4 linked regions of the Notamacropus eugenii genome follow. The protein of the gene in region 1 interacts with the protein of each later gene in a pairwise test. Links are inferred from orthologs where the notes say so. Each region holds a gene or a part of one and is shown in the gene's direction. Other genes may lie near its edges.

Region 1 (7,791 bases):
ATTGTGATAATTCATCATTAGGTCTTGTCAGTTCATCTGTTTTTCTCCAGACCCAGGTTCATTCTTTCCAGAGAAATTAGGAGCTTTCTAGTTATGGAATATGGCTGGAAGTAAAAGCACTATCAAGTGAGAGTACCATGGAGTTGTGCAGGCAAAACAATTTAGTGCCCATCAAGATGCTGGGCACAAAGTTCCACTTAATTAATATTTAAATGAATTGAATCCCTTATTTCCAAGTTGAGAAAGGTCAGGTAATATACTCTATGACAAAATCAGAATCCTAAAAAAATCTTGGTAGATAGAAATGAGTGAATAAATCCATTAGGATGAAATTTATTGGGAATAAATGTAAAGAATTATACTTGGTTTCAAAAACACTAATTCCACAAGCATAGGAATGAATACTTTTGGCCTGACAGCAGATCATTTAAAAAAGAGCTGAGGGTCCACCCATTCCTATTAAAAGCAATAGAAAGCATAGGGATAAATGAACCTTTTCTTAAAATAAGTAGTATTTATCTAAAACCAAGAGTAAGCATTATCAGTAATGGGGATAAACTTGAAGACTTCACGATAAAATCAGGGGTGAAGCAAAGATGTCCATTGTCACTGCTATTATTCAATATGTACTAGAAACACTAAGATAAGAAGAAGAAATTGAAGGAATAAAACTAAGCAATGAAGGAACAAAACTATCACTCTTTGCAGATGATATGGTATCATATCATTATGGCATCATATCATATGGTATCATTATGCAGATGGTATGTTTAGAGAATCCTAGAAAATCAACTAAAATTAGTCGAAACTATTAGCAACTTCAGCAAGGTTAAAGGCTATAAAATAAACTCACATAAATCATCACTGTTTCTATACACTACCAATAAAGTCCAGCAGCAAGACACAGAAAGAGAAATTCCATTTAACATAACTTCGGACAATATAACATACTCGGTAGTCTACATGCCAAGAGAAATGAAGGGATTATATGAACACAATTATAAAATATTTTTATACAAATAAAGACGGATCTAAACAATTGGAGAAATATCAGCTGCTCATGGGTAGACTGAGCCAACAGAATAAAAATGATAATTCTATCTAAATTAATTTACTTATGCAGTGTCACACCAATCAAACTACCAAAGAATCATTTTATAGAGCTAGAAAAATAATGAATGAATAAAAATTCATCTGGAAAAACAAAAGATCAAGAATATCATATTAATGAAAAAAATGTAAAGGAAGTCAGCCTAGCAGTTCCATATTTCATACTATATTACAAAGCAGTAATCATCAAAATAATCTGATACTAGCTAAGAAACAGAGTGGTGGATAGGAGGAATAGATTAGGTACAAATACAGAGAAGTAAATAACCATAATAATCTATTGTTTGATAAACCCAAAGATCCAAGATTTGGGGACAAGAACTCGCTATTTGACAAAAATTGTTGGGAAAACTGGAATGCAGTTTGGCCGAAACTAGGCACAGACCAACATTAATACTATATACATAAACAAAACCAAAGTGAATAAATGATTTAGACATAAAGGTGATATAAGGTAAATTAGGGAAGCATGGAAATATGTACCTGTTAGATCTATGGATAAAGGGAGAGTTTATGACCAAACAAGAGATAGAAAGGATCACGGGAAGTAAAATAAATAATTTTGATTACATGAAATTAAAAGCTTTTGCACAAAGTAAAACTAATGCAGCCAAATTTAGAAGGAAAACAGGAAATTGAGGGAAAATTTACAGCATTTTTTTAAATAAAGGCCTCATTTCTCAAATATATAGAGAACTAGAACTGAATCAAATTCAACAAAATAAGAACCATTCCCCAGTTGATAAATGGTCAAAGAATGTGAACAAGCAGTTTTCAGAAGAAAAAAATGCTCTAAATCCCTACTGATTAAAAAAATAAAAGTTCAGACCACTCTGAAGAACTACCTCATACCTATTGGATTGGTTAATATGAAATAAAAGGTACATGACAAATGCTGGAGGGGAAGTGGAAATACTGGGACACTAATGCACTGTTGGTAGAGTTGCAAACTAATCTAATCAATCATTCTGGAGAGCAACAGGAACTATGTTCAAAGAGTTATAAAACTGTGTAATCTCTGACTCAACAATACAGTTACCAGGTCTGGGAAGACTTACATGAATGAATTCATGCAAAGTGAAGTGAGCAGAACCAGGAGAACATTGTGCATAGTATCAGAAAGACTTCACAACTCTGATTAAGACAATTTCAAGGGGCCTGTGAGGAAAAGTGCTGTCCACATCCAGAGAGAAAAATGATGAACTCTGAATATAGATCAAAGCATACCCCTTTTCACGTTATTTTTCTTGTTTTATTTTTGTCTTTTCTTTTGTAACATGACTAATGGAAATATGTTTTACATGACTTCACATGTATTATCCATGACAAATTGCCTTCTCAAGAAAGAAGGAGGGAACAGGGTGGGGGGAAGAAAAGAATTGGAACTCAAAGTTTTAAAAAATGATTGTTAAAATTGTTTTACATGGAGGGGTTTAGTCAGGTCGATGAGTAAATAGGGGTACTGTGTCAAGCAAAAGGTGTGAAAGGTAATAATAGAATTCTATTGTGCAGAAAGTTGGAGCTGTCAGCTCAGTGGTCTTGTCCCTTGTTAGAATTTATCTGGAATACAGTTCTAAGTATAATATTCTAAGGGGAACATTGACAAAATGAATTGGATTCAGAGGAAGGCAACTAAAATGGGGAAGAGATTTGAAAATATGTCCTGGAAGAACTGGGGACCATTTAGATTTCAGAGGTGACATGGTGACTATTTTCAAATATTTAAAGCTTAGGTAAAAGGAGATTCTGCTTGGATCCAGAGAACAGAATCTGGATATTATAGGGAGTCAGGTTTTTGGCTTAATATTAGAAATGACTTTATAGAACGGTTCAAAAATAGAAACTGAGTAGTGTGGCCATATTGTGTTCCTAGCCCTGCCAGCTAAAAGGAGAAGGTTGAGATGATGGTAGTGGAGTGAAAAGAATACTGGATTTTGAATCAACTAAAAATCTGGGTGAGCTCCTTATCACTGCTATAACCTTGGGTGGTTCACTTCTCCTCTTGGGCCTCAGTTTCCTCATGTGCAAAATGAGAGGGTTGGACTTTTAAGATCCTTTCCATCCCTAAATCTATGTTGCTATGACCCTTTGGATTATTGCAGAGGGACTTATGTCTCATAGTAGGAAAACCTGTGTACTCTTTTCCTAAGCAGATGCTTAGAATGTAATGCCTGGAACTAAGCACAGTATTCCAGATGAGGTGTAAGCATCTTTAGCTGCTTAAGAAAAGAATATACACATAATTCTTCCTATATTTTCCTAGAGGCATAAAGTATGCACAGCCCTCCCTCACTCAAAACAAAGTCAAGTGCAAGTCACGTCGTTATTTCTCTGATGTCATGGTCTTCTTCGAAAACGAAGGAGGAACGCAGAATAAAACACAGTATTATTAACAATATTTAATAATACTACAAGTCATCCTTTCACTGAACGTTCCTGCCTCTCATAAACCTTAGTCTAAAGTTCTTCCTAGTGCCAAATCTAAATTCTTCTGGTTAGCATTTAAACTTACCGCCTCTTCTATCCTAAATGTTAATTACAGTTGATATTGACATCCTAGATAGTGATACACTTGCATACACAGCCTGACTAGGAGAGCCTCTATTATTTTCTCCTTTGTCGGGACACAAATATTCTGCAGTTCAGAGGGCCAGGCCAGGATCCCCAAGCGCTTAAGAGGTGCGAATGAAAACGCCCATGCTTTTAGGTGCCTGGGTTAAAAAACACAAAGTACCTGGGGGGCCGCTGTTCCCGACGCTTCCATCGCCGGGGGTTTGGGGGCTGCAGAGGGCGCTGTTCGCTCATCTCCAGGCTTGCGGCTGCAGCCGACAGCAAGCCCTGGGCACCGCTGGGTGGCTGGAGGCGCCCTCTGCTTTCCGTGCTTGCTGCCGCGTTGTGGGGGTGTGCACGCCTCCCGCTCCCTCCCGCCCGCTCCCCAAGCTGTAAGGGAGGGCAGTAAATCTGGAGCGAGAGACACCGGCTCCGCCGCACGTTTCCAGGCGCCGGCTTCACAGCCGCCGCCTCCACCTCTACCGCTGCTTCTCTTTGTCCGGGGAAAGGAAGGAGGGAGGGAAGAAAGGAGGGGGAGTTGCTGCTGCTGCTGCTGCTGCGGCACCAGGTGCATCCTCGGAACCCTCCACCGCTCTGCGCCCCTTCTCCCGGGCTCTGCGCCGCGCGCCTGGAGACCCGTGTCGAGCGGCCGCAGCTTCCTCGGGGGGTACCCGCGGACAGGTGAGTCCTAGGTGGGGAGTCGGGCTGACGCTAGGGCGGCTGCGAGATTGCTGCTGCCTCCGCTCGGCATCTGCGTGTGGGATGCGTGGGAGGTGTTTGGTGGTGACAGTTGTTGGAAGTGCAGCCCAGGTGTGGCTCCATTCCTTTCCCTCTCCCGGCTCGCCCCTCCTTTCCTGGACCGCTTGGCAAGTTCTTTCTGCCTGGGCACCCGCAATGACCTTTTCCCCCTCCGAAACTTCGGACCCTCAGCAAGACCCCGCGCCTCCTTCCAGCCCCCAACTACTGGAAAACACTTGGAGATGGGGGTCCGGGTCCTAGCTTTTGGCTACAGCCTAATTAAGTGTCGTCGTGCGCTTAGTTTTGGACATCTTCCTCGCTTCCTTCTGGAATTGCTAAGACTAGGGTAACCGATGGGGATCTTCTGGGCTGTGTCTTTATTTTTGGCCCTGGCTCCCACGTTCATGGGTGTGGGAGGGAACAGTTTAGACCATAGTAGGCATTTCCCATTCCCCCCACCCCGAAATAAGGCACCTCCTCCCTTCCCCTTTGCAAGAAGAATTGCCCTGTGCACCCCGCATGCAGATAACTGAGATGCAGGAGCTTTTTGATTCCCTCTTGAATGGTGTCGGCGATTGCGAAGCATATATGGCTATATGGGGCACACACGTGCTGACTGTTTGGGTAACACAAGGATTTCCTAAGGGTGGGATAGGTTAGTTCCAAGACTGGAGTGTCCTCCCGGCCTGGGATGCTACAGTCTGCCGCCGTACTCTTAATTTAGCATGGTCATGCTAAGTCCTTTGAACTTTATAATGAGACCTATTTTATTTTTCATACATACATACGATTTAGCTTGGAGGATATGCACAGAAGGGATTTCTGGCACATGAGAGTGATGGTACTACCGTTCTATTTTAAATACAAACGGGGAATAAGTGTGTCTGGCAGGATACCAGAAGAAACCCATACTCACTGTTATGCAAGTACATTTAAAAATACCTGCTCATTGGTTAGAATGTAAAGTGATCACCGAGGCCTCTAGGGGGAAGCTGAGAGAAGAGCTAAGAACATTTCTTCCTCAAAACAAAAGCGTGCCAGAAGGGGTGATCACGTCTAGCTTGAGGTCCTCTCTTAAGATGGTATAGGATAGTTTTAGACAGCATTTCAACCGTGGGAAGAATACTTGAGGCATAAAGCAGATAACAGTGCAAAGCATTTAGGAGAATTAAATGAAACAGATATTGTTCAATAAGTCGCAAAGTCGGGTAAAAATTATTTGACTGTTACCATGATAGTGGTAGAAACAGAATTCAGAACTTACAAGGTTTTCAAAAATTTTTGATAACATTTTTTAGAGGCTATTTTTGGAAATTTAGTAATATTCCTTGCTAGTTAAAGTAACTCAACTAAAAGTGGATTCAGATAAAAGAAGGACTTTCTGGTTCCTTTTCATCACTTTTAATGATTAATCAGATTAGGTATTTTGCTGGCTAGACAGTGAAATACAAACCCTACAAACCACACACTTGTACAATCCTGCTCTGAGTGTATCTCATCAGGCATCACCGTGACCAGTTCTATGCAGGGATTGTTGACTGACTTGCAATCATCAGGAGAACAAATATTCAACAGGTGATACTTGGCAAAAGACAACAGATAAGATGCACAACAGTTTGTATTATTACTAATTGTGGGTTTGTGTGGATCAAATTTTTTCTTTTACTTTGTGTGACAGATTTCACTTTGGTTACAGAAGCAAAGAAGAATATAAAAAATAAAATGGAAAGGAAAGATACCATTTTTTCGGGGGTCCCAGAAATGTGAGTTCGTTGGTATAGGGAACTCCCTGCGTGGAAACTGCTTATTAATGCAGCTGAACACTTACTCTGTGACGTATAAACTTAGTTACCTGCATGTCACTGAAAGGTTAAGTGATTTTGATACAGATAGTTTGCATTAGAGATGTAAGAACTTGAACTCAGGCCTTCTTGACTCAGGAGCTACTGTGCTTTTCCAATAGTAATTAAAGATGGATAAAATAAAGTTTTGCAAAGGACAACTGAAGAATTGTTACATATACTTTTTATGTAGTCTTTTTGGAAATATACTAGATCTTTATTTCAGTGAAATACTTGTAACTTGTAATTCTTTCCAACATTCAGGATCTGACTTTTAAAACTTGAATATGCCATAGTCTCTTTTAATTTTTGGAGACATCAGTGACAGATTAGACAGCAGTGTAATTATTTTTATTTGCTTACAAAATAACATAACCAATAGTCATTAAGCATTTCATTATTTTCTCTATCAAATATAAAACTGGTTGTTGCCTTTGATATAAAATAGCACAGACAGTTGAGTGGGGTGCAAAAAACTTCTTTGTCTTATAATTTTTGTCTAACACTTCTAGATTTAGATATTTTGTGTCTGGTTTCAGCAAATGTTTTATGTGGAGTCTTAGGTAAAAGGTATGATTGAGTTGAAGGTATTTTATGAAACTCAGGTTTGGCTATTTTGTAACTGCCAGCAAACTATATTATTAAAGTCAAAAATAGGGAAACAGGGATGCCTGGTGTCAGTTGACCAGACCCAATACTGTAATAAATTAGAGGACTATTTCTGTAAGTGGAGAGATAAGTACAATGTCTACAATAATGGTTCCCCTTGGGTTGTTCATGAATCCAGGTTCTTAACAATGATCCAAGGAGTTTGCATTCAAATTTTTTTTAATGATTCCTTAAGCACTAAATAGTTGTGAAGAATATTATGAGTAGTATATTAAATTACCTTGGGGATTCAAAACATTTTTGTTGTTGTTGAAAGGGGTTCATGGAACAAAAAAATGTTGGGAATTACTGGTCTAGAAGATTACATAAGTATGTCTCATTATATGTGTAAGCCCTTTTCTAAAGATTTCAATGCTAATGTATAAAGCCATTTGGGCTTTTGTGTCTGTCAATTAAAATCGTTAGGAAGAGCAAGTTTAAAAAATTGATTTCTTTTCCTAATTTTTGCTTTGGAGAGACCAATCAGAAACCTGACCCAGATTGTCATTGATCTGACTATGTTCAGACTGATAACAAGCTTTAGGGCCCTGCAGAGCCAATGAAATCACAATATAACATTGAGAACAAGATCATGAGCCTGTGATTTTGCCCTGAAAGTGACTTTTATGTGAAGGTGTGCATTAGGGAAACTGAGATGAGGGTCTGGGAGTGGGGAAATAATGTAATTAGGGCTCTCCCGCATCTCAGAGAAAGATAAAAGAGAATTTTGGAAGAGACAGAGCTTAAGCAAGTACCAAAGGTATACTAGAAGATTCTTTATTTTTTTTTTGTCCTTGATTAATACAAAATTGACTGGGACCTAAGAGAAGAGAACTCAGACTTTCAGCCCTAGAAATGTTCTTTAGAAGAGCATCTTTTCTTCTAAAAATAATTTTGAAGACTA
Region 2 (8,278 bases), on another chromosome or scaffold:
CTGGCCTCAGCTCTTTTACTCTTTCCCATGCAGAGCTAAAGCCCGATTGAAGATGGCGAGGGGAAATGGGAGGGCAGTTTTGAACATAATTGTTAGGGTTGATGGGTAGATCTAGACCCTGACAGAAGACCCTGTCTTCCCCTGCTCTTTCCCTTGTTCCCCCTCCCCAACCTGTCTGCCCAGGGACCCAGCTTGGGGTGAAGGGAGGAAAACAGGAGCTTCATCTTTAAGTGACTGCTCTGGGCCAAGCCCTGAGGACACACACAGTAAGGGAAGAGGGATTTTAATAACTTTTAGTGCCCACCCTGGGGAGGGGTGGGCTTTATGGTATGCAGATGGGGAGCGGGAGGGGCCACCCTACAACACCCACCCCACTGCCCTTTGTTTCTATAGGCCTTTCTATTTCAAGATACTTAAACAAGACCTGAAAATACCCCTATCCCCACAGGTCGGTAAAGCCCAGGAGTGGAGCTGGCTGGGTTCTGGGCCTTCACCTGCACTGACTCTGTTAGTGCCCTAGAGAACATCTAGGCCACCCCCTCTTATTACAGATGAGGAAACTGAGGCCAGAGATGTGAAATGTCAAGGCAAATGTCCCATGTAGCCACACTGGTCGTAGCTGCTCTCTGCAGACAGCCTTCAGAGGTTTGCAAAGCATTGTAAATGTCCTAATATTTCTCCCTCTACCACCATAAGGCAGCAACTGTTCTCATCCCAGTGACTGGTCAAGAGAAGGGTAGGTCATGGAGATGGGCAGCATCTTAGTCAGATTAGGTCCCAACAACTCCATTTCCCACTTTCCGTCCATTTGTCTTGACCCCTAAGTAGAAGGTGGCTGTAACCCAAAGCTCTCTGGGGCTCCCCTTCTTCCAGCCTCCTCCCAGAGGGCAGTCCCTTAAAGGTCCTCCCAAAGTGAGTTATGGACATGGTCCTGTCTGCTGAAATTCACATGTTAATAGTAACCAGGGGAGTGAGGCAGGAATCACTGGGCACGTCATCCTAGATATAGTTTAATCACCCCCCCCACACACACACACACTTTCTGCATAGAGCCCCTTTGCGCTCAGTGTGGCAGAATCTCCAAGTTAGGCTTTCCAAATGATCTAAATACCACATGCTATTGAGATGCTTCAGCATCTTGGCCGCCCACCCCCTGCCCCACTTATACCCCTCTACCACCACCCCATCTCCCGGACTCTGTGCACTTCAGCATGGTCATAAGATTTGATGCCTAGAATGTAACCCAAAGAGTATCCTAAGGCTCTGCGACAAGGAGTCTTAGAGGCCACTTATTTGATGCCATCATGTGATCAGACTCCAGGTGGGTTCATGCCTCTTAACAAGACCTAAGACTGCTTTGCCATTCTTGGCTATTCTCACGTTATTGGGTCATTTGGAGCTTAATGTCCACTAAGAACCCCAGATCATTTTCATAGGTTCCCAAGAGCTTTCTGGGCTCACAATGTCCTGAGGTTCTTCTGCCTAGACAAGGTGAGACTTGAGCTAGGTCTCAGTACCAGCAGTACTGGGCTTGATGAGAAGAAAAGGGAGGAGAAAGTGAGGCAGAGTGGAGGGAAGTGGAAGCAAGCAGAGCCTACAGAGATCAGGCATGTTTACAGGCTGGGCCTTCTGGCTTCTAGAAGTTTCATCCCATCGACTCCAGGAGTCAAGAGAGGCTCCAGCTTTGTAGGAGCTGAAGGTGTGCGGGGAACAGTCTCCCTGGGCATCCCAAGAGTTGACTCTGGCTCATTGCCCAAAGGAAGCAGAAGCAGTAGGTGATCCCAGCACCCTGGGACACTAGGCATTTGGAATCCCTCTCTCCCCATGGAAAGAGGAAAAACATGGAGGAGGTGGGGTAGATGGTCCAGCACTCAGGGTCCTGAGCAAACTCAGATGATCACAGGAAGCCAGGACTTGAAGAGGCCACCAGTCTGCCCTCCTTTTACAGAGCTGGTGACTCTGAGACTCAGGAGAAAGGACTCACCTGGGGTCCTACCTCCAGCTCCACCCTAGGCCAACCCACTCCAAGGCCATCAGGCGAGGCAATGCTGTGGGCAGATACAGATTTGTTTTTTAAAAAATAAGTTTTTATTGATGTCAATTTTTGGAATCAGCATAATTTCTCCAGGGGACACAGTGGATAGAGCACTGGGTTTAGAGTCAGGAAGACTCATCTCAATGAGTTCAGATCTGGCCTCAGACACTCACTAGCAGTGTGGTCCTGGGCAAGTCACTTCACCCTGTTTGCCTCAGTTTTCCTCCTCGGTAAGATGAGCTGGAGAAGGAAATGGCAAACCACTTCAGTGTCTTTGCCAAGAAAACCCTAAATGGGGTCACTGAGAACTGGACACACCTGATACGCCTGAACAATTTCTTCCAGTATCCCTTCTCCTGGCCCCACCCAGAGAACCATTCCATGTAACACTATTTTATAAAGACAAAAAAAAGGGGGGGAGGGAATCAGCCTAACTGAGTAATACGTGCAATAAGGTTGACACATGTCGCAGCATCGCCTCTGCAGAGGGGGAGGGGAGGGGAGGGGGCTTCCTGGGCCTCGGCTTGACAACATTCACTTGATTTTGGTGTGCAGTTCTCTCCATTTCTGTTGTAATTGCTGCGTATGCTGTTTTCTTAGCTCTGCCAGCTCGCCTCTGCGTCAGTTCATATAGATGTCCATCTTCCCATGTTTCTCATTTAACATTCCATTCCATGGATGCACCGCACTGTGTTTAGTCATTCCCCATCAGTGGGTACCCACTTTGTTTACAATTCTTTGCTATCACAAAAAGTGCTGCTAGGAATATTTTGGTATATTTGGGGACTTTCTTCTTATCAATGGCCTCCTTGAGGGGGGTCTCATCAATTGACTCTGAGTAAATCAGCCAAACTGATTTAGCTACTGGGAAACTCCAGTAGGAAAGGCACTCACATAACCTTAAGGGGGAATCTGGGAAGGCTTCAAGGAGGAGGTGACCTTTGAACTGCCTGCACAGGGCAGGGTAGGGAGGACATTCCAGGCATGGGGTGCTGATCCTCAGTCTCCTCTGGAAAAGCACCTTGGAAACTGGGTAACGAAGATAGTCATATCCCAATTTTATAGATGAAGAAGCAGGCGCAGAGTTCATTATATGATAGGATCATAGGTAGAGGGAAGGGACCGTAAAACCTCGTACTGCATATGTGGAAACTGAGGCAGAGCGAGTCATACAGATCCAACTTCAAGTCTAGCTTGCTGGGCCCTGCACTGCACTGTCTCTTGATGAGAGGCCACAAGGGGACACCACAGTGCACTGGGCCCTGTGAAGAAAGGGAAGGATTTCATAAAGTCAAGTTCACCTGCATTAATTAAGCCCATTGTGTACTAAGCCCTGAGCTAAACACAGGATGATACAAAGAGAGAGTTTTTAAAGAACCCCAGCCCCTGCCCTCGGGGAGCTACCACTCTAAGGGTGGAGACCATGTGAATAAACAAGCTACATACAGGCTATATTAGAGACCACCCCAGAGGGAAGGTCCAAGATTAAAGACCATGGAGAGATGTTTCCTGGAGAAGGAAGCCAGAGGGTGGAGATAAGGAGAGTGTCTGTGGCATGGGGGACAATGCCTGGAGTCGGGAGATGGAGAGGCTTGTTCAAGGAACAGCAGGTGAATGGAGACATCAGAAAGGAGGAGTGGCCAGTGCCTGTGACCAGTCAGGAGGGAACATCGAGGAGTCCAGCTTGGTCGGAGTATCGAGTCTGTGACCAGGACTTATAGGCTTACAAAGTCAGAGCTGAAAGTGACCTCAGAGGTCAACTCATTCAGCCCCTCCTATGAGAGGCAGTGACTGAGCTGGGTCTTGTGGATGTCGGTTCACTCTAATTTCCTAACCCTCATTTCTGTCCCAAAGCATCATGGGCAGCCTTAAGAAAAAGGTAGTGACCTCCCCATCACTGGAAGTCTCTGAGCAAAATTTGTATGCCTCAAGGAATGCGGTGCTGGACTGGGTGCCTCTGAGAATCGTTTGGAAACTTGCAAATAGGATTTTCAAGGGCAAACGGGAGGAATCCAGGCCGGTGCATACCAAGCCATTTCCCCTCATGTGGGGTGGGAGCCTCCAATTTCCCAGACAGAACCTTGGACTCCCAGAGCTAGTTGTGGGGAGAGCATCTCCTCTGACCCCATCAAACCTTTTGTACACTCAAACTTGCTCATCCTCCTCTTGGGCCCCTTTGAAGTCCCCCCCACCCCCAGCTCCATAGAGAGTTACCAGCCAGGCAGAGACCAGGACTCACACCTCTAGCTGCTGTAACCATGGGGGGGACAGCTCAGAGAGCAGGGACAGACCAGACAGACCAGGGTCCCAGGCTAGGCAGAAGTATAACCCAAACAAAAAGATCCCTATTTCAGGGAGAGGGTGTGGGAGCTAGAGGGGACCTTAAGTGATCATCTTGTCTGATTCCCTTATTATACAGGTGGGGAAACTGAGATCCAGAGAGAGGAAGGCCCTGACCCTAGACTGCAAGGGTTCTTTAGCCACCACTTAGACACAGGACGGTGCCATGGGAAACCCTGGGAGTCAGAGGAGCTGGGCTCAAATACTGGCTCCTCCGCTTACTGCTCATGACCTCCTCTGAGTCTGAGTTTCCTCCTTTGGCTGTCAATCTCCTGAGCTGAGGGTGTGCCTACTATGTAAGACCCCATTCAAGGAGATAGAGAGCAGGTTCCGGTCAGATGCTGCCCTCACAAAAGTTACAGTACAGGCTACTACAAATGGCCAGACACACAGCAAGACATTATGACATGATCAGGGAGGACAGTTGCCCCGAGGTGCTTTCAGGGGCCAGAGTGCTCTCAGAAGCCAGGGTCTCACAGGCCAGGTAACCATGCCTCCCCAGAGGCCTGTTGGTCTCCATAGTGATGATCCAGGACCAGGCTTGTAGAAGTTCTGAAATAGGGGGATGGGGCAGAAGAATACTTTGCTAAGAACCCATCAACAGTCAATTCTGGCTGCCTCTGTGGTGAAACCTAACCAGGATGCCCGAGTCCGGGTCCCTTCAGCCTCATCTGAAAAGGGAACAGCCACTGGACTGCTGGGACTCCTTTCTGGGGTGCCTTTGGCCCACCAAGTATGTGGCTTCTAACTGCCAAGACCCTAGAGCTTGGAGACAGGATGCCTGGTCCACGGAGGCGCAGGGGGAGGAGTGGCAGAGGGTCCCCTAAGGGTTAAGGGCTCTTTAAGGCAGGGAGGATCTGTGACAGTCTCTTCTTCTGAGAAAATCCAGGGATCTCTAGGTCCTGTGGCTTCCCATGTGTATGATGAGGTAATTCACATGGGCAGAATGAGTCAGAAGGCCCAGGATGTCATTGTCTCCCAGACCTAAGATTCTGCTTGACTGTAAGAAGGCTCTTCCCCTTTCTGGACATCAGCCGCTGACGGGACTCGTCTCTCCTCGCCTGTGGGATGCAGGGCACATGCTGTTCTGGTCTGTGCTGGGCAGGGATGCTGGCTATTCACTGGGGCTCCGTCATTCCCCCCTCTAGAGTGCTTTTGGGAGTGGAGATGGGGTGCTGATCCAAGGCCGACCTCGGGCCCGGAGTGCTGGGAATACCAGAAAGAAAGACGCATCTAACAAAGGCAAGAAGAGGAATGAGCCCTCTGAGGCTGAAGAGTGAGTAACTGGGGGTGCAGGGAGGTGACCCGGGGCTCTGGGAGGCTGACATTCTGACTGGCGCTTCTCTCCCCATCCCCAGCCTCATCCCACCACCTCCTCGGAAGCCCTCCTTCCCGTTCCAGTGGGCCTGGGAGAGCTTCTTGGTGGATGGCCGGAGCCTGCCCCTGCCTTCCTCCAATTCTTCCCACCAGACCCAACAACCTCAGGGGGCCCCCCAGAAGGCCCAGAGGGCCAAGACCTCAGCCTTGCCCCCTGCCAGGGCTCCCCAGAAATCCCGGTTGAAGGCCATGCCCCCATCTGCCCAGCCGGCCAACTTCCCACTCTACTGGAAGATGGAGGCCCGAAGTCAGGACATGAAGAGGCAGTTGAAAACCTGGCTTCACTCTGAGCTGGACAGCCAAGAGAGCCAGGACAGCCAGGATTATCAGGATGGCCAGGAGCTGGAAGGGCAAGAACAGGATGGCAGGGAGGAGGAGTGGCCTGAGGGCAGGAGGGAACTCACCACCTGGCCCTCTTTTCTGTCTTCCAAGGAAAGGTTGGGGTTCCAAGCAAAATGGGCCCAAAGGCTAAGGATGGTGGGGGGAGCCCAGGGTGAGGGGAGGTAACTACAGCTGGGTGGGGGCAGCAGAGGGAGAGGAGAGAGTGGACAGGGCCTTCAAGAAGTTCATCTGTTCCCTGCCTGTGCCCAGGAGCAGAGAAGATGAGAGAGGCCAGCTGAGGAAGTGGAAAGCCCTCCATCTGGCTGGTTTCGCCCTCCTCAGAGGATTCCAGAGGAAGTCGGCAAAGTCCAAGGACCCAGAGAAGCTCTTAGATATGGAAATTCTGCAGAAACACTTACAGGAAGATGAACTCTACAGTAAGTCATGCCCCCTGCCAATGACTCCCAAGCCCTCTCTGGCCTTCAGCTCACTTGTCAAAGGAGGAGTTTGGGGTTCTTCTGTTTGTACTGTGTCAGTGGATAGAATGAGCAGCCCATTAGCCAGAATAAACATTAAAATCAGAATTTGCCAGGCAGCACCCCCCACTTCACTTTATACTAGGGGGTCCCTCCCCAGCCTGGCCTTCCCACTCCCAGAAGTAGCCTCCTGGTTTCCCACAGTCTCTGGCCAGTGTCCTGAGTTAGAGGCTCTCCTCTTCACCACTTATTGGGATTGGTCTCAAAAAGTTGAACTGAGAACCTTTCGTGCTGCTTGCTTTGAGAGCTATGACTTCGAGTTATGGCCCTGACACCCAGGATCTCTGACTCCAAACCCAGGGATATCCCCTACCAGGCTGCACCACCTGCTTAAGAAAGCAGAGATATATGGGCAACATTGTGGGATTATGTCCATTCCAAAGGTTATTGTGCTTAAGAGGCCAGCCTCAGTTACCTGCATACCTCCCTTACTTAGAACCTCCTGGCCCCTCTGCACTGGGGTAAGGCATTGGGGGAGGATGGGGAGTGAGGAGGGGTTCCTGACTTCTCTTCCTCTGTTGTCAGACTCCCAGTGGCCAATTCAGGATACCACCCATCCTCAAGGCGAGAAGGTACAGGCCTGGGAGGATGTCAAGCCCTTCCTGACAACTGGTGGCACCACCAGAACCTTCCAGATGCGACGAGAGGCCACCAGGTACCTGTCCCCCACCCCCATCCCCTACCCTGGGCTGGGGGTGCCTTCCCCTAGATCATTCCTTCACTGGCTGTCTAGACTTTTCACTGGTTGGTCCATCAACAGGTTCAGGTTATACACAGAGGTATAATACGCCCACAGTGGCGGTTCCTACATCACTGAATCACAGACTCACTTTCTACCACCTGTCATCTATAATACATAGGTACACATGCATACACACACACACACACACACACACACACATGCAGAGTGAAAAGACAATAGTGTAGACAGAGATGGAAGAGACCTTCTACCCTCTCATCTCATAATTAAGGAAATTGAACCCTAGAGACCTAGAGTAACTTGTCCAAGGTCACCTAGCCAGGTCCTAAACCCTAAAAATCCCAAGCCCTTCTGGGGCGGAGGTTGGGCCCATTAGCAGTCCCTTGATGGACATCCAAAAGCTGCACCAGGGTCATGATGCTGTGGCTAGAGGCCTCAGAATTCTGAAGGAATTCACTTGGTGGGCTCTGCAACCAAAGCAAAGCTCACATGATGAGCTAGAACTGCTGGGCTGGGGGACCCCCTGCACCTGAGGAAAGCAGACAGCAGGGCAGAAGGAAACGAAGACTGTCCTGAGCCCAGTCCAGTTCCCATCTCAGACCCTTAGTGGCTCACAATAGGTTTGGTCCTTGTGCCCCAGTGCTGAGCAGCCCCACTGGACTTCATTAGAACATGGTGATGGTGGAAGCCTGTTTCCCCATCTGTAAAATGGACACAGTAATATCTGCCTTAGACGGTTGGGGGGAGGCTCAGCCTGGATCACACGCGGGCCAAAGCACTGTATAGACTTCACAAAGCGCCCCAGACCCTTGGGGCTTGGCGTGGCCAAGCTAACATGACCAACGTGAACCTAGTGGACAGTTTCCTGAGCCCTTTGAGGTCTCCTTCAGCTCAAAATCTGTGTGGCCTGAGTCTGCTCTCATTGCTGGTTAGACTGGGAGCTCCTTGAGGCGAAGGAGTGGTATATTT
Region 3 (7,870 bases), on another chromosome or scaffold:
TAGGGGACATGGCCTGAGATTCAAAGGAGATATTTAGAATAACGGTGATCTTTCCCTGTCCTTTTGATATCCTGTCTCCCCCCATCCTAAGATTCTCGACAGGAATGGCTGACTGCCCTACAGGACCCTGGCATCTTGGCAGCTCTAGCCCAGGACCTGGGACTGGTGCTGTTATTCATGGGGCAGCACAGTCTTATGGCAACAGAGCCTGTGAAGACATGGATGGCCCAGCGCTTTGGGGTCCTACAGAGGTCACTCTATGTGGCCTGCACTGCCCTGGCCCTGCAGGTATGGGGACTAGACAGCTAGGTCCCCAAGAGAAGTAGGGTCTGGGGAAAGGAAAGCCTGGGGATGAGGGTGCCAGATGCCTGGGTTCCTGAGTAAACTGAGAATTAACAGAGAATGAGCTGGAAGCATTCAAACCTCTGCACATTCTAATCACTAAACTCTCTAACTGCAGCTCCCACTACTTCCCTACTGTAGACTGAGTAGGCCCATTGTTTCCCAAACATACCCCCTTCTTTTTTCCTCCCCATTCCCCCCTGCTTGGAATGCCTACCACCTCCTCTCTTTTCCAAAACCTGCATATGCCTTTAAGGCCTGATCTTCATCTCCTAGTTCCTCAAAGAAGTCTTTACCAATGACCATAGTTTTATTGTTGATCTCCTCCCTCTTTTGAGGTCCTTTTTCTAATATGACATATTGCCATAGACCTTTATCACATATGATATATATATGCCTGATAATTATATGTTGCTTTATTATTTATCTCTAGATACATATTGTAACCAAATTGTAAGCTCCTCTAGGGCAGTGATCATACATCTTATAAATATGCTAAAACATTTATTCTCTCCTGTGTGCTTCCACACTGTGCCAGTGATATTCCTAGAGTACAGGACTAGCCTGCTCAATAAATTTCAGTGGTTCCCTACTACCTCTAGGATCAAATATGAAATTCCCTGTTTAGCATTTAGAGCCCCTGCTCAGTCTGGTTCCAACTTACCTTTCCAACTCTTATTTTACATTGTTGTCCTTCATATGCTTATGTCTGTCTAGCCTGGCCTTCTCTCTCTGTCTTTCTTTTACTCCCAATCCCCCCCACCCCACCCCCCCCCACACACAAAATTCTGCCTCCCATCTCTGGACTTCTGCACAAACTTTCCCCTCCCACCTACCCCCACCCCATGCTTCCTCCCCTATGCCTCCTAGAATCTTTTTTTTCCTTTGAAGCTCAGCTCAAGCACATCTCCTACATGAGACCTTTCCTGAGCCCCTTGTATTTATTTTATATGTACTTCTCACTCCTATAGAATAGGAGTCTCATGGACGAGACTTTCATTGTTGCCTGTGCCTGGCATGTAGTAGGCCCTTAATAAATGCTGTTGATTGATTGCAAGGTCTGAGATCCAGATAGGATTTTAGAGTAGCAGTGAGAGATATCTACCCCCCACTTCTGAGGCTTAAGAAAAATAAATAAAGCATGATCTAATACTTGCTTGTAATTCCGTCACCTAACATGGCATCCTACATATAGTGGACATCAAAAAACATTTGTGTTTGTTAATAAGGGTTTGAAAACCAGTCTTGGAGCACCCTGCATGAATTATTAGAAGTAAAAGCCATCAGGGAGCTAGAGATGTGTGTGTGTGTGTGTGTGTGTGTATTGTGGCATTGTGGGAGGTGAGGGGGGAGCCTCCCCTCAACATATTAAATGATTACATCTCCAAGGGGAGTTGAATCTAGCTATCCCCTATCTGTTTCTTTCAGGTGATAATGCGTTATTGGGAGCCAGTGCCAGAGGGCCCAGTTCTCTGGGAAGCACAGTCAGAGCCCTGGGTGACCTGGGTACCCCTTCTCTGCTTCGTGATGCACATCATAGCGTGGCTTCTCATTTTTAGTATCCTCTTGGTTTTTGACTATCCTGAACTCATGGGCCTCAAACAGGTAATTTCCAGTTCCTGGGCCTCTAACCTTTGGACATCATTCTTTATCTCTTCTAAGACTTGAATCACCTTCAATCTCCCCATCCCTAACCAATCTTCACAAGTTTTTGCTCCACCCTCACCTCGGTCTACCAGTTACCTTTCTTTCCCCCCCACCATGGAGCCATGATCTCATACTCCTCCCCCAGAATCTAGAAATGGTAGCTCCCATGGATTTGTAGGAGAGTCAAGAGCCAAGAGTTAGGCTCAAAGGGGAGACCTTAGTCCCAAGGATTGAAGGAGGATTAGATTTATATCCTTGGAGAAATGGAAGAGGTAACCTTGGAAGATGAGCAGAGACAGCCTTTTATAAGGAATTGAGGGAGTAGAATTAGAGGCAAAGGGATATAATGATTCAATTTCTGATCTAATGTCCTTCCATCCCTCTCCCATAGGTATATTACCATGTGCTGGGGCTGGGGGAGCCATTGGCTCTGAAGTCCCCTAGGGCACTGAGACTCTTTGAGCACTTGAGACATCCTGTGTGTGTGGAGCTCCTGACAGTGCTGTGGGCTGTGCCCCGACTGGGCCTTGACAGAATCCTCTTGGCTGCACTGCTCACCCTCTACCTGGGCCTGGCACATGGGCTAGACCAGCAAGACTTGCGCTACCTCCGTGCCCAGCTTCAAAGAAAGCTTCAGTTACTTGCTGGGCCCCAAGATGTAGATGCTGAGTGAAAGTGAAATCTAGTCCCTAGGATGAAACTATTGTCCCTAGACTCTAAAGCCCTGACTCCCCATTCAAAGTTCTGTTCCCTGAAATCTAAGAGTTATCCTAGAGAATCTGTCTTCTGGATTCCAAGTTCCACTCCAGAATCTGAGGTTTCCACACCTACTCTAACTTGAGAGGCCACCCCTTGAAGCTTGGGGCTGTATGCTTCTAGGTCCTTTGATGCCTCCCCCCCACCCCCAAACTCTGTCTCTCTTGAATTCCCAGCTCTACCTCCTAGACTCCAAGTTTCTCTCCCTGTGAACTTCAGCAGGGTTCTCTAGATATGGTATACAGCTAGCTCCTTGACTTGGAGCCCATACTCAAATTCTAGATTTAGTATCCCTTAATCCAGGATCCCACTCCCCTACCTAAGGACCCCTCAATGCAATCTAGAAAGAGAGATGAGGTACTGAAGGAGGAATGAGGATTTTGGGCTTGTCCCCAACTAGAGACCTCTTTCTGCCTATTTTCCTCTCCAAATCCTAGGGGAAGAGGTTGGCCCTGATCAGTCTACTATCACTGATCCCCAGCCCCATTCTCAGGGACCCCTCCTTTTCCTTTATATCTTCACCTACCCCAGAACAGAATTGTTTTCCAGCCTCCAGACTGAAGTACCTTTCCTTAGTTCTCTATCCCCCATTGTCCAGCCTTTCCCTCAGCGTCCTTGAGGTTCCTTTTAAAATTTCTCCCTCACCACTTAGGCTCTATGTCCTTGAAGCAAATGTTGGGAGGACGGGGAAAGAACCTCTTCACTCCCCACCTCAGTGCCTTCATGTTTCCCAAAGAACATGTAAGAAGCTGGCCAATAAATCCAAATATTATGTCTTCTTTACGTGCCTCTTAAGGTCACAAGTGTTTATCTCTGGTCTGGACAGTTAGCTGGTTCCGGATCCTTAGAGAATGGAAGGGAGAATTGAAACAGGGAGGGGCAGAGTAGAGTGATAGGCCTAAGACCAACTGTCTCAGCAGCTACAAAGTAGGGGGTGGGGATGACGGGTGGAAAGAAAGCAAATGCTTGCAGTAACTACAGCTACTGTTCCCTCCAGTGGCCACTATGCTTCGGCCATTCCTCAAGGTCCTGCCTTCTATCATTTTGAGGATGCCCCAGTCTCCCACCTTCAGGAAGGGGGCATAGTTACTTCTTCCGCTAGCAATCCCGCCTGCCAACACCTGGATGATCTCAGGGTTGAGTAGACCGCTGATTTGAAAGGTGGAAGCCCAGTCCCTAACCAAATCAAAGCCAAGCATGCAGGAGTCTCCACCCATCCCGCCGACTTTGATCTTAGACCCGCTCCACCCCTACCCCCAATCACTTTCAGTCCCCACTCCCAACCCGGCAGTCTTGACCAGCGACCCTACAAAAATAAAGCTCTGGGAGCTAAGAAGGGAGGAGGGCGGGAGATGGGCTGGGCAGGACGGCTCCCAGCAGCTGCTGCTTCCTCCCTGGGCCCCCCTAGGGGCCTGAGTCACGGGCCACCGCCCTGGACCGGGGCTTTGGGAGGGGGAAAGAGGAGGGAGGAAAGATTGGGGGTGGGGGGTGGAGAGTCCCGGGAGAAGTTGAGTGCAAAGGACACCTGGGTCCCGCAGGGCAGAACGGCCGAAGGAGAGTGAGGCAGCTGGAGGTTGAGGATCAGGATACTTGGGTCCCAGAGAGGAATGAGAGCGGTGAGCTTGGGGGTTGCGCGTCTGGGAGTGCTTTCCAGAGAAGAGCCAGCTAGGGGGTCCTGGGGGCGGGAGGCCCCGCCCCTTGAAGCCAGTTCCGCCTCTCGCCCCCTTCTCTCTCCCCATTGTCCTCAGACAAAGCGGTCGCCGCCCCCAGCCCGGCCCCCCTTGGTTTGGGTCTATCTCTCCTCCTCCTTCCCTCCTTCCTCCCTCCCTCCCTCCCATCTCCAACTCTGCCTCGCTCCCTTTCTTTCTCTTCCTTCTCTCCCTCTCCAGACGCTTTCTCGACCTCGAACCCCCTCCCTCCCCCGTGGGACCCTGCCAGTACGTGAGTTGGGAGGGGGGGTTCAGACTCCGAGGATAGATGTCCCCACCCTCATCACCTTCGGCCGCCACCCTTTTCCCCTCCACTCTTTCTTCTGCCTGGGAGATTTTCTTTGTGTAGCGAGTAGGAGTAGAGTGCGAGAGAGGCTAGGGACCGCAACATCTCGCTCCCAGGGTCAGAGTGACAGGGGACTCTGGAGGGCGACGGGGGAGGACACCTAGGTGCCTAACTGAGGTGAAGAGGGCTGGACAGACCAGAGCTGGTTATCTGGGTCCCCGGACTGGGAGGAGGGCTATGGGCGAGGGGGAGGAGTGGACATCTGGGTTCTGAGAAGGGGTTGGGTGCTCGGCCGCCTGGTTTCCAAAAGTCCCCGGGTACTGTCTTTTCCCAGACCCGCCCCAAGAGGCGGGGTGCGTAGGCCCGGTGGGGGGAGGAGGGGGTGGCCCGGGACTGGAGGGGCGTGGCTGGTGAGAGGTTGGAGGGGAAGCTAGAGTCCGCTAGGGCCCACGCTGTGACTGGCAGGTCTGCTGCACAGTTCCCTCCTCCCCTCTCTCCTTATCCCCTTCTTACCCTTTCCCCTATCCCTTTGGTGCACCCTTACCTCTCCCCTTTTCCGTGTCCATCCTCCCTCCCCCCAACACCATGGCTTCGCTTTTTCACCCCCCACGTCAGGAGTTCCCCTAACCTCCACATCTCCCCCTTTAGCCACCCACTTGGTTCCTTCCCCTGGTTCTTCTCCAAACTGTCTTCTCTTCTTTTTTCTCTTCTCTCATCTAAAATATTCTGTCATCCTCCACCATACCCCAATATTCTATCTTGCTTTTTTCTCCCTTTCTCCCTCCCAGCTTTCTTCCCCTCCATTGTATCACTCAGTCTCTTCCCTCCCCCTACTTTTCTTCTGTTCAGTTCCTCAGTATTTCTTCTGATTCTCCCTTTCTTTTCATTCTTTTCTAGCAGTTCTCTTCCCTTTCCTAGTCTTCCTGTCTTTCCCTCTTTCCAGGGGATTCTCTCTTCCTTTCTTCTACTTTGTCTTCCCACACAAACTCTCCGCCACATTTCCTCTCCCTCTGCCCCACCAGTACTTTCATTCTCCAGTTCTCTTACTTCTTTCTTCTCCCTGACGTTGCTCCATCTCCTCCCCTCCAGTTCTCTTGCCCCACTGGGACCATGGCTACTGTCCCAGATTGGAAGTTACAACTACTAGCCAGGCGAAGACAAGAAGAGGCTGCTGTTCGAGGCCGGGAGCAGGCTGAGAAGGATCGACTGGCCCAGATGCCAGCTTGGAAACGGGGACTATTGGAGCGACGCCGTGCCAAGCTAGGAGTGCCAGTGGGGGAACCAGGTCCTGGGAATGAGGCTACAGATGCAGCACCTCCTGAACTCGATGAGCCTGTGGTCCTTCTAGAGGCCATTGGACCTGTCCACCAGAATCGCTTCATCCGCCAAGAACGCCAAGAGCTAAAGCAGCAGCAGCAGCAAGGTGTGGAAGAGCAGCTCACTGATCGGAGGCCACCTGAGGGTCGAGGACACATTTCAGGGAGAGGGGAAGCCCGAGAGCAGAGACCCAGCATGGCAGAGGCTCAGGAACAGAGTCTGGTGGGAAAAGAGTCAAGAGAGCAGAGGCTGAGCCTGGGGGAGTCTGGAGATAGGAAGCTGGGGGTAGCAGAAGTTCCAGAGCAAAGCCTTAGGCCTGCAGAGGCCTTGGAATGGAGATTGAGCCCAAGGGAGACTGAGGAGAGGAGCTCCAGCCTTTCAGAGTCACGGAAATGGAAGAAAAGCCCTGGGGAAGCTCGAAAACGAAATGTGAATCCAGCAGAACCTCAAGAACAGACCTCTGGGGCATCTGAAATGGGAGAATGTAGACTGAGCTCAGGAGACCGTGGAGAGCGTGGAGAACTGAGGCTGGGGATGACAGAGATACACAAATGGAGGATGAATTCCAGAGAAGTCTTGGAACAGAGTCCAGAGCCGTTGGAGGCTCGAGAATGGAGGATCAACCCAGGAGAAGAAAGCAAAGGGAGATCAGGGGAATCGGGGACAGAACAGAGACTAATGCAGAGGAAATCCAGGGAGAACTCAGGACTTTTAGAGACACAAAGATGTAGGTTAAGTCCTGGTGAGTTTCGAGAACGAAGCCCAGGGGTAATGGAGGCAGCAGAAATGAGGTTGAATTCAGGAGAGGATGTAGAGAAGAGTTCTAGACAGTTAGAAGTAAGGAAATGGAGACTGAACTCTGGGAAGGCTCGAGAATGGAGCCCTGGGAGATCGGAGGCTGAAGGGCAGAAGACAGCACCTTCAGACTCTGGAGATCAGAAGTTGCTGTTGCCTACACTGAAGGCCGAAGAAGGGAGGATAGGGGCTGCTGTAGAGGAAGCTGGGGATGGAGGCAGGATGGTGAGCTCCCTTAGAAGCCACTACTCTGTAACCTCCCCCTCACCACCTGAGGAAGTTGGGGCCGGAGGCTCAGGGCTGCAGGAAGAGGAAGCAGCAGAACCTCAGCCCCCACCACCACCTTCAGTATCTCCCCTACCCCCTGCCCCACCAACTCCTCAGCCCCCAGGGGACCCGCTGATGAGTCGCCTGTTCTATGGAGTGAAACCTGGGCCTGGGGTAGGGGCCCCACGCCGCAGTGGACACACCTTCACAGTTAACCCCAGGCGCTCTGGGCCCCCTGCAGCCCCTGCCCCTCCTGAACCCCAGCTCCCTGGCCCTGGAAAGAAGCGGTACCCCACTGCTGAGGAGATACTGGTGCTTGGGGGCTACCTCCGTCTAAGCCGAAGCTGCCTCGCCAAGGGGTCCCCTGAGAGACACCATAAACAGGTAGGGAAGTCTAGCCTGGCCCTTTTTTAGCTCCCATTCACCAACTCTCTCTGGGCCCCTTACTTTGTGTCTTTTTCCCTATGTCCTCTCTCCTTACATTTCACTGTCTCGCCCCACTTCCTCTTTTAACCCCCTTTTCCAGTCATCTTTCCCCAGGGAAAAATGCTCTCTCATGGTCTCGATTAGTCTGTCTCTGTCTCTGGGTGTGTCTCTTTTTCTCTCCCTTCCCTTAGGCACTGAATTCTTCCTGCCCTCTTTTCCTCTGGCAGAGTTTGTATGGGCATCTGCTCATTTCTCCCCATTCAAGGGAAAGAGAGGAATTTGCTGACCCCACCAGACAGGAAAAGGTGGGCTAAATTAAACCTTT
Region 4 (7,747 bases), on another chromosome or scaffold:
GTGCCTATTATGTTCCAGGGACTGTACCAGACAACAAGGCTAGAAAGATAAAAATGGAAGTCTCTATCTTCAAGACATTTACGTTCTACTTTGGAGTGAGGGGAAAGAGGACAACATATATGCGGATTATGAAATGCAAAATAATTTGAGGAGGAAAAAACATTACTACTTGGGGATGTGGGATTGATAAGAGAAGTTTCCACAGAGACCACAACAACTGAGCTGAGAACCTTGAAGGATTCCAGGAATTTCAGAAGCAGAGAAGAGGAAGGAGTGCATTCCAGGCATAGGGAATAGTGAGGGAAGCAGAGAGGGGAAGGGAATTCGTTCTGTTTTGGTAAATTATCTCTGCTCACCTTATCCCACAGGACCATTATGAGTGTAAAATGAGATAACAGAACAGAATCTACTTGAGGGCAGGGAATGGATTTCACTTTATCTTTTTAACTCCAGTGCCTAGCAAGGTGCATTCAATTAACCAATCAACAAACAAATGAATCACTTACTTTGTGCCAAGCAGTGGGTGCTGAAAATGCAAATGATGAAACACTCCCTATTCTCAAGGATTACATTCTCACAGAAATGAGAAATCAATAGACAGATTAGATGGATAGATGGATGGATGGGTGGGTGGGTAGGTGGGTGGAGAGATAGAGACAGATAAATAGATGGAAGCTAGATGAATAGATAGGTAGAAAGGTAAATGGATGACATTTAGAGAGATATAAAGATACCTAGCTAGATATACATATATATATACATACATATAAACATACACAATAAATTCATATTGTTAATTCCCTTAAAGCTAGCAGACCCATGCTTCATGGAATTCAAACATAATTTCTGGCTATCTGATAATAGAATGACCAAGCTTAAATATATTTTAGAACAATCCCAGCCCAGGGTGTCTATGTCACTCAAATTTCTGATCTCCATATATGCTTAACTATATTATAAGAAAGGAATTTTCTTAATTGAATAGGTGGTAAATACAATAAAATAAGAGTTAAAAAAGTGTCAATTCTTATGACCCAGGATATCTGTGTTCTCTTTATCATTAATGTGCCATAACATAGTATATGCCAAAAAAAATTAAGATAAGAAAAAATTCCATTATTCAAGGTAGTGTCTGCTTAAGGGTCTCATTCTTAATGTCCATAAACAGAGGAAAATTCTCTGAAGTCAGCCCCATCTGGCTTTATTGACATAGGAAGAGGTATTTCTCTGAGTTTGCTTAAGAGAGCAAAGACGCTCTTCCATCCAAGTCCTTCTGATTGATTAGTTCAGCCTGACCCTTAAAACGATATTAAATGATTATCAATGTATGAGTGTGTTTGTATATATACATATGTATACATGTTACATATATGTGTCTATCATATATAATAGTATACATATATAAGCATACTTTATAAATATATATATTATATGTAGGTATTTAACATGTGCTTACTGAATTTGTCAGTCAGTCAATGAGTATTTTAAGTGTCTACTATGTGTTAGTAGTTATGGGCACCTAGCGCAAATAGTAGAGTACTAGGCCTGCACTGAGGACTTTCTGAGTTCAAATCCTATTTTAACTACTTATTAGTTACATAAGCTTGTAAAGGCCACTTACCCCTTTCAGCCTACATTTCCTTGTCGGTAAAATAGAGATCTACTTTCTAGGATTTTGTTGTTGTTATTCACTCATGTCCAACTCTTCATGACCCCATTTAGGGCTTTCTTGGTGAAGATATTGGAGTGGTTTGCCATTTGTTACAGGTGAAGAAACTGAGGCAAACAGTGAAGTGACTTGCCCAGAGTCACACAGCTAGGAAGTGCCTGAGGTTGAATTTGAACTCATGAATATGAGTCTTCCCGATTCCAAGTCCAGTGCTCTATCCACTGCTCCACCTAGGATCAAATGAGATTAAATTTGTAAAGCACTTGGCAAATTTTAAAGTGGTATAGAAATGATGCTCACTAACATTATTTGTTATTATTATTGCTTTTAGCTTTAGATAATGGATATGAAAGTCTTGGAAGTAACTCCACCAGTAAGTTGTGATTATCATTATTATCACTCGGGCAGACTGGGGGGAGGAGAGTGGGACTTGGTGTCCTCAGAGCCTACAACCTCCAGGGTGTACACAGCAGGATTCAGTCGTTAATCCTTTTACACCTCTTAATCCTTTTAGGTAGTGAAAATGCCCATTATCCAATGGTATTTATTACTGGCACGGATTCATCTAGAGATTGCCAACTAGCTGATATCAAGGGAACCCCAAGTCTGAGCCTTGCCGTGGGCCCTGTAATTTGTAAAGCCCAAACTGGCATTTCTGTAAAATCCTCCAGACAGAAATCTCTGGGTTCAAGATGCCACACGGCAAAGCATATTATGGGACTTGTGAAAATAATGTCCTTCCGATAGGATTTTAATGCTGAACATATGTACCATTGACTGAATTGGTTGTGTTTACCAGATTTCTAAATCTCTCTTTAGCTATCCCAGCTGGTGTCCAACATATTCCAGAAATATTTTTCAACTTGATAGGTTTATTTTTAATTCCTTCTGATGCTTTATTTAAGCAAATGGAAAAGAAGAGGAGGGAGTTTGTATTTCCAGTTCCCAAGCTTCATACTTTACACAAATAAACTAAGATTTTCGAGTCCTAATACTGAGGCTAGGAGTCAAGAGGCTGGAATTCTAATCTTAACCCTGGCCCTAAATCAATAAATGCCTTTGGGCAAGTAACATCTTTTCCCTGTGCCTCAGTTTCCTCCTCTGTAAAATGAGAATGATGTCTAAATTCACTCCTTCCTCCCCCCAGTAATAAGTATTACGGAACTCTGAAATAGTACATATAGAAACACACATATGTATGTATATATATACATAAAATATTTATAAACACTATATAAGATTTATATAGCACTTTATAAGCACTATATATGAGCAAAGTATCTTTTCATTTTCATTTTACAGATAAGGAAACTGAAGCAGAGAATAAGTGACTTACCAGGGTCACACAACCAGTAAGTGTTTGAGGTCAAATTTGAATTCAGGGCTTCTTGCCTCTTGGTCAAGCATTCTATCCACTGCCCCACTAGCTGCCTAAATAATCGATTCACGCCTTAGAATTGATAATAGACTACACACGTGCCTAGATGGTTAAGCATTTTACATTATCATAGCAGTCTCAATCAACAAGCATTTATTAAGCACCAACTACATGCCAGGAATACAGAGAAAAACAAAAAAGTCCCAGCTTTTTTCCTGTCTAATGGGGAAAACAACATGGAAACAATTGTAGACAAACAAGACATAGGCATGATAAATTGCAGATAATCTGGGAGGAAAAGACACTAACATTAAAGGAAATGGGGCAAGGGTTCCTGTAGAAGCTGAGTCTTTAGTTGGGACTTGGAGGAAGCCAGAGAAGCCAGGAGACAAAGGAGGGTCAGAGTTCCAAGCATTCTGGGACAGCCAGAGAAAACACCTGGTCATGAGATGGAGAGTCTTCTAGGGGAAACAACAAGGAGGCTCAAAAATCTATGTGGTAAACAGGATTATGTGGATGAACATCCTGGCCTCAGAGAAGGAAAGTGGTTTGCCCAAGATCACTCAGTGATTTAGTATCTAAATCAGGTCTCCGGACTCCCACACCAAGATTGCGTGTTAAATATAATTCAGTTGTCTACATGATGATATGAATTTGATTTTAGGACAGTAACATGGGCCCACATTAGGTTTTTTCTGCTTGGCCCTGAAGGCCAGAACCAGTAGTAAAGGATGAAACCTAAGGAGTGACAATTTGGAGCCGGAGGGAAGGTAAACCTTCTGAATATCAGAGCTGTCCAGAAGTGGAGAGCCTCCCATCCCTGGATATCTACACTGTGGTATAGCTAGGTGGTGCTTCTGAACTTGAATTCAGGAAGTCCTGATTACAAATCCAGCCTCACATATTTATCAGGTGTGTGATCCCGAACAAAGTCCCTTACCTTCTTTGAATCTTATTTCCTGACGCTGACAATCGGGATAATAACAGCTTTTGTCTCCGTCACAAGATTCTCCCACACGTGGGATAGCAAGGTAAAGCCCTTCGCAAACCTTGAAGTGATATGTGTGTATATGTATGTATGCATGTGAACACACACACACTCACACACTCATATATATACATATAAATGAGCTATTTTTATTCAAGTAGAGGCTTAATGAGATCGCTTGCACTGGGTGTTTTAAAAAGTATTTTTAACCTTGGTCAGACAAATCCTCTCACTCCCCGGGTGACTTTGCCTCAGTTTCTTTCTCTGTAAAATGAGGAGATAGGACTCATGGCCTCTGGGCTCCCTTTCAGCTCTGAGTCTAGGATCCTGTAAATAGCTCTTTCTCTGTGGACAGGGAGGTCCAAGCAACAATGCCCGCCTTGGGTTGCCTCGGAAAGAACAGACAGACCTCTGCAGCCAAGCAGAACGTCCTGGCCCTCCCCCGTCCTCTAATGGACCCCTCCACCCTCCCTGCTGCGTGGCCGGCATCGCCCCCGCCCCACTGGCCAATGAGAAAGCCCCAGATGGCGTCTCTGTTGCTGGGAGCAACCGAGGTGCACTCCGGCTGAAGCCGCGGCCTCTGCAATCAAGCTGCGTGGTTCCCTGAGGGAAAGAGGAAGGTTTGGGGAGAGAGACGTCCCGAAAGTCCAGTTTCGGGAAGGGAATTCATCCTAACGGGTAGTGATCCACGGGCCTGACTTGTCTACCCAAGTTGGGACTCGGGAAACTCTCAGCTCAAGGGAGATTTTATTTAGCTACCAACCCCCATTTTCGTTTCCTTTCCTTTTTATCTCTAACCTTTCCCCCACTTTCTCTTTTACTTTTCTTTGTAAATGAGAGAAAAACACAAATCCCTTGAGAAGACAGAGCAGGAATCCTTTGTTATTTTCCTATAAGACATTTCTAATTACTTTCCTTCAACTTCATTTACATGTATACATATATCACATGTATATATCTACATACAATATATATTTCTCTATACCTATTTCTCATACTCCCATCCCATTCACACTGGTTACCAACTGGTTTGAGGTTCCAGAGACTGTGAACTGAAAGAGAGCAGAGGAACTGGGTTATCCTTCCTCCCCCTTTCTCCCCCCCCCCCCTTCCCCCAGACTTTCCCCCAGCCACTGGCTGGCCTCTGGCCCCAGGGGACCTTAGGGCTTCGACCCTGAACAAGTATTAAGATGCCCGTCAACAAGAGCTTCGATATTCATCCCAGCGAGGCTCTTAAGCCTTATCAGGGCTCCGGGCAGCTGTCTCAGGTAGGTGTCTCCTCTCGACCATATTTTTAAGGGGGACACAAAATGTAATATAAATTGTTGTTTGAATAGACTAGCCAAGGAGGGTAAGACTGGGAGGGGAGGGAAGAGGAAAGTCATGTTGTAATTAAATTGTAGAGACACATCCGCATAGATATAAATGGTTGGTTTCGTCTGAAGAATGAAGGCGCCAGCCGGAACAGTGCGCCAGGCCATCATATTAGCCAATAATTCTGAGATGATGGAATGAATCAGCAGTGACACAGTCGAACATCAGAAAAATTAAGATAAATTGTAGGTTTGCCATGGCAGAAATTATTTCCAGAGATCCGCTGCACAGAGGTAGCCAGAGTACCCAGCTTGGGTGTAATCTCTGTGTTGGAAAAACAGTGACCATCTTTTCCCTTTCCTTAATGCCTGCATAAAGAGTGTAGGATTTAGAGGAGGACTTGGGTTCATATCCTCTATCTGCCATTTATTATCTGTTACCTGGGACAAGTGACCTCAGCTCTCTGAGCCTCAAAAATGAGTTCTAAGTCCTTTTCAGCTCACATCTTCAATCCCCTGTGATCTCTTCAGATTTGCTGGGATAGGCAGTGGAAAAGAGATGTGAAAGGGTCTTGAGCTAGGGATGAACACTGTGTTGTAGGGTCTAGACAAGGGACTCATTACTCAGGAATGGTTCCCTTCTCTTTGCATGTATTTGTCTTTCTATTGCTCAGCAAGATGTCTTAGCACATAGTAAGTGCTTAATAAATGCATATTGGCTAACTGTTGCTGATTGACCTGATTTAGAGCCCCACTTGAAGTTCACCCAGACGTTTTATTTGGGGTGGCTCTCTCAGGGCTGTAGACACTGATGTACTTGCCCCTTCACTCCTGTGTAGTATTTCATTCCACTGTATTTTAAATAAGAGGCAGAAAATCATCAGACTTTCATCTTATGATAGAAAACCCCACTGAAGTCTGATTCCAATATGGAGGGGACCTTGGTTCCCAAATGGAGATGATACTCATGACAGGTCCAATCAGCAGAGATTTGGCAGGCAGACCCCTTCATTATTGGATAATAGGATCATAGATTTTACTGATGAAGCAACTGAGGCCCAAGGAGATTAAATGACTTGCCTGAGGTCACTCAGATAGTGTCATAACCAAAATTAGAACCCACAATCTCCTATTGCAAATCTATCACTCTTTCCACTACACCACAAGGTTCATCAACAATTTGGCCACACAAAGTGATTCCATTTTTGGCCACAATAGATCTCAAAGACATAAGGTAGGGGCAAGTCTTGTGAAAAAGATCTGGGCATTTTAGTGGACTGCAAATTCAACTAGGAGTCAACAGTATGATAGCTAATACGGTGTTAAGCCTCACTAAAAGGAGAGTAGTATATGGGCTAGTGAGGTGGTGGCTTCTCTTTGTCCTCTGCCCTGGTCATACCACATTTAGGGTACCAGTTATTGGTGCCACATTGTTATCATGATACTGTTATGTTGAAGAAGGCCCAGAGGAGGGACGATTTGATAGTTATCTTCAAATATACAAAGGACCATCTGAGCCTGAATGCAACTTGTTCTGTTTGGCTGCAGATGAGGGCATGAGTAGGAATAGTGGACAGAAATTACAAAGTTACAAAGAGGCAGGTCAATATAAAGAAAACTTAACCATTAGAGCTGTCCAAAAATAGATTGGGCTGGAGGTTAAGAAATTACTGCAAGGCTTCAAGCCTAGGCTAGATGACCTCACGGAGGATATGTCATAAAGGGGAATTTTTGCTCAGCTACTGATTGGATGACTCAGGTGCTGAAGTTCTTTCCAGCTCTGTGATCCAGTGAAGCTGTAATCAAAGACTGTTACCTAAGGCATAATGGGGTGCAGGAGGTGGTAGAACACCATCTATGTTGAGGGAATCTGAGATCTTTGAAGAGTGGAAGCATGGATGATATTGATGATATCTGAACAGGGAAATAAAAACACATTACCTGATTATATAAAGCTTATAGGCTCATAAATCTAGAGCAGCAAGGGACCTCAGAGGTCAAGGGACTTCTTTTATATAGGTCTTCTGAAGATTAATATATATCATTTGCAAAGGTTAATATTGGTTTTGATTGAATAGAAACATTTGGATTTGAATTTAATGGCATGTCATCATTATCCTGTGTGTGTGCATATGTGTGTGAGAGAGACAAAGAGAGAGAGAGACAGAGAAAGAAAGACGTATGTGAATGTATGCCATGTTTGTGTTTCATTCTCCCCCTCTTGCTGACTCATTTAGGAGTCAAGGCAACTCTTCCTCAACTGGCCACTGCTCTTCCAAGTGGCCAGAGCTCCTTGTCTTGTCTCTTTATAACACTAGAGGAAAGTTGACTTAAAGGTAACTGAATACTCCCAGACTTGCAAAGTGGAAGTAACCAGAAAGATTTTAAAACTCACTGGC

Evidence for each region.
Region 2: the proteins of MTUS2 (region 1) and TSGA10IP interact in binary tests that used the Homo sapiens proteins (3 or more experiments, as listed by UniProt). The two-hybrid records come from large-scale screens. The link is inferred for Notamacropus eugenii from reciprocal best matches to the Homo sapiens genes MTUS2 and TSGA10IP.
Region 3: the proteins of MTUS2 (region 1) and PPP1R18 interact in binary tests that used the Homo sapiens proteins (3 or more experiments, as listed by UniProt). The two-hybrid records come from large-scale screens. The link is inferred for Notamacropus eugenii from reciprocal best matches to the Homo sapiens genes MTUS2 and PPP1R18.
Region 4: the proteins of MTUS2 (region 1) and CCDC60 interact in binary tests that used the Homo sapiens proteins (3 or more experiments, as listed by UniProt). The two-hybrid records come from large-scale screens. The link is inferred for Notamacropus eugenii from reciprocal best matches to the Homo sapiens genes MTUS2 and CCDC60.

The regions. Positions count from the first base shown.
Region 1 is NC_092876.1:197,081,895-197,089,685, forward strand, and holds the start of MTUS2 (microtubule-associated tumor suppressor candidate 2), read left to right. Parts: upstream 1-4,251; 5' UTR 4,252-4,341; intron 4,342-7,791. UniProt on the Homo sapiens protein: Binds microtubules. Together with MAPRE1 may target the microtubule depolymerase KIF2C to the plus-end of microtubules. May regulate the dynamics of microtubules at their growing distal tip.
Region 2 is NC_092873.1:18,636,510-18,644,787, forward strand, and holds the start of TSGA10IP (testis-specific protein 10-interacting protein), read left to right. Parts: upstream 1-4,925; 5' UTR 4,926-4,940; coding exon 4,941-5,108; intron 5,109-5,523; coding exon 5,524-5,651; intron 5,652-5,733; coding exon 5,734-6,189; intron 6,190-6,343; coding exon 6,344-6,510; intron 6,511-7,134; coding exon 7,135-7,264; intron 7,265-8,278.
Region 3 is NC_092873.1:84,556,032-84,563,901, reverse strand, and holds the start of PPP1R18 (phostensin), read left to right. Parts: upstream 1-4,269; 5' UTR 4,270-4,352; coding exon 4,353-4,361; intron 4,362-4,600; exon of another isoform or gene 4,601-4,686; intron 4,687-4,898; exon of another isoform or gene 4,899-4,917; intron 4,918-5,829; coding exon 5,830-7,503; intron 7,504-7,870. Other genes in the region: NRM (nurim), read left to right, coding at 92-288, 1,771-1,947, 2,381-2,662.
Region 4 is NC_092875.1:25,967,592-25,975,338, reverse strand, and holds the start of CCDC60 (coiled-coil domain-containing protein 60), read left to right. Parts: upstream 1-4,583; 5' UTR 4,584-5,225; coding exon 5,226-5,303; intron 5,304-7,747.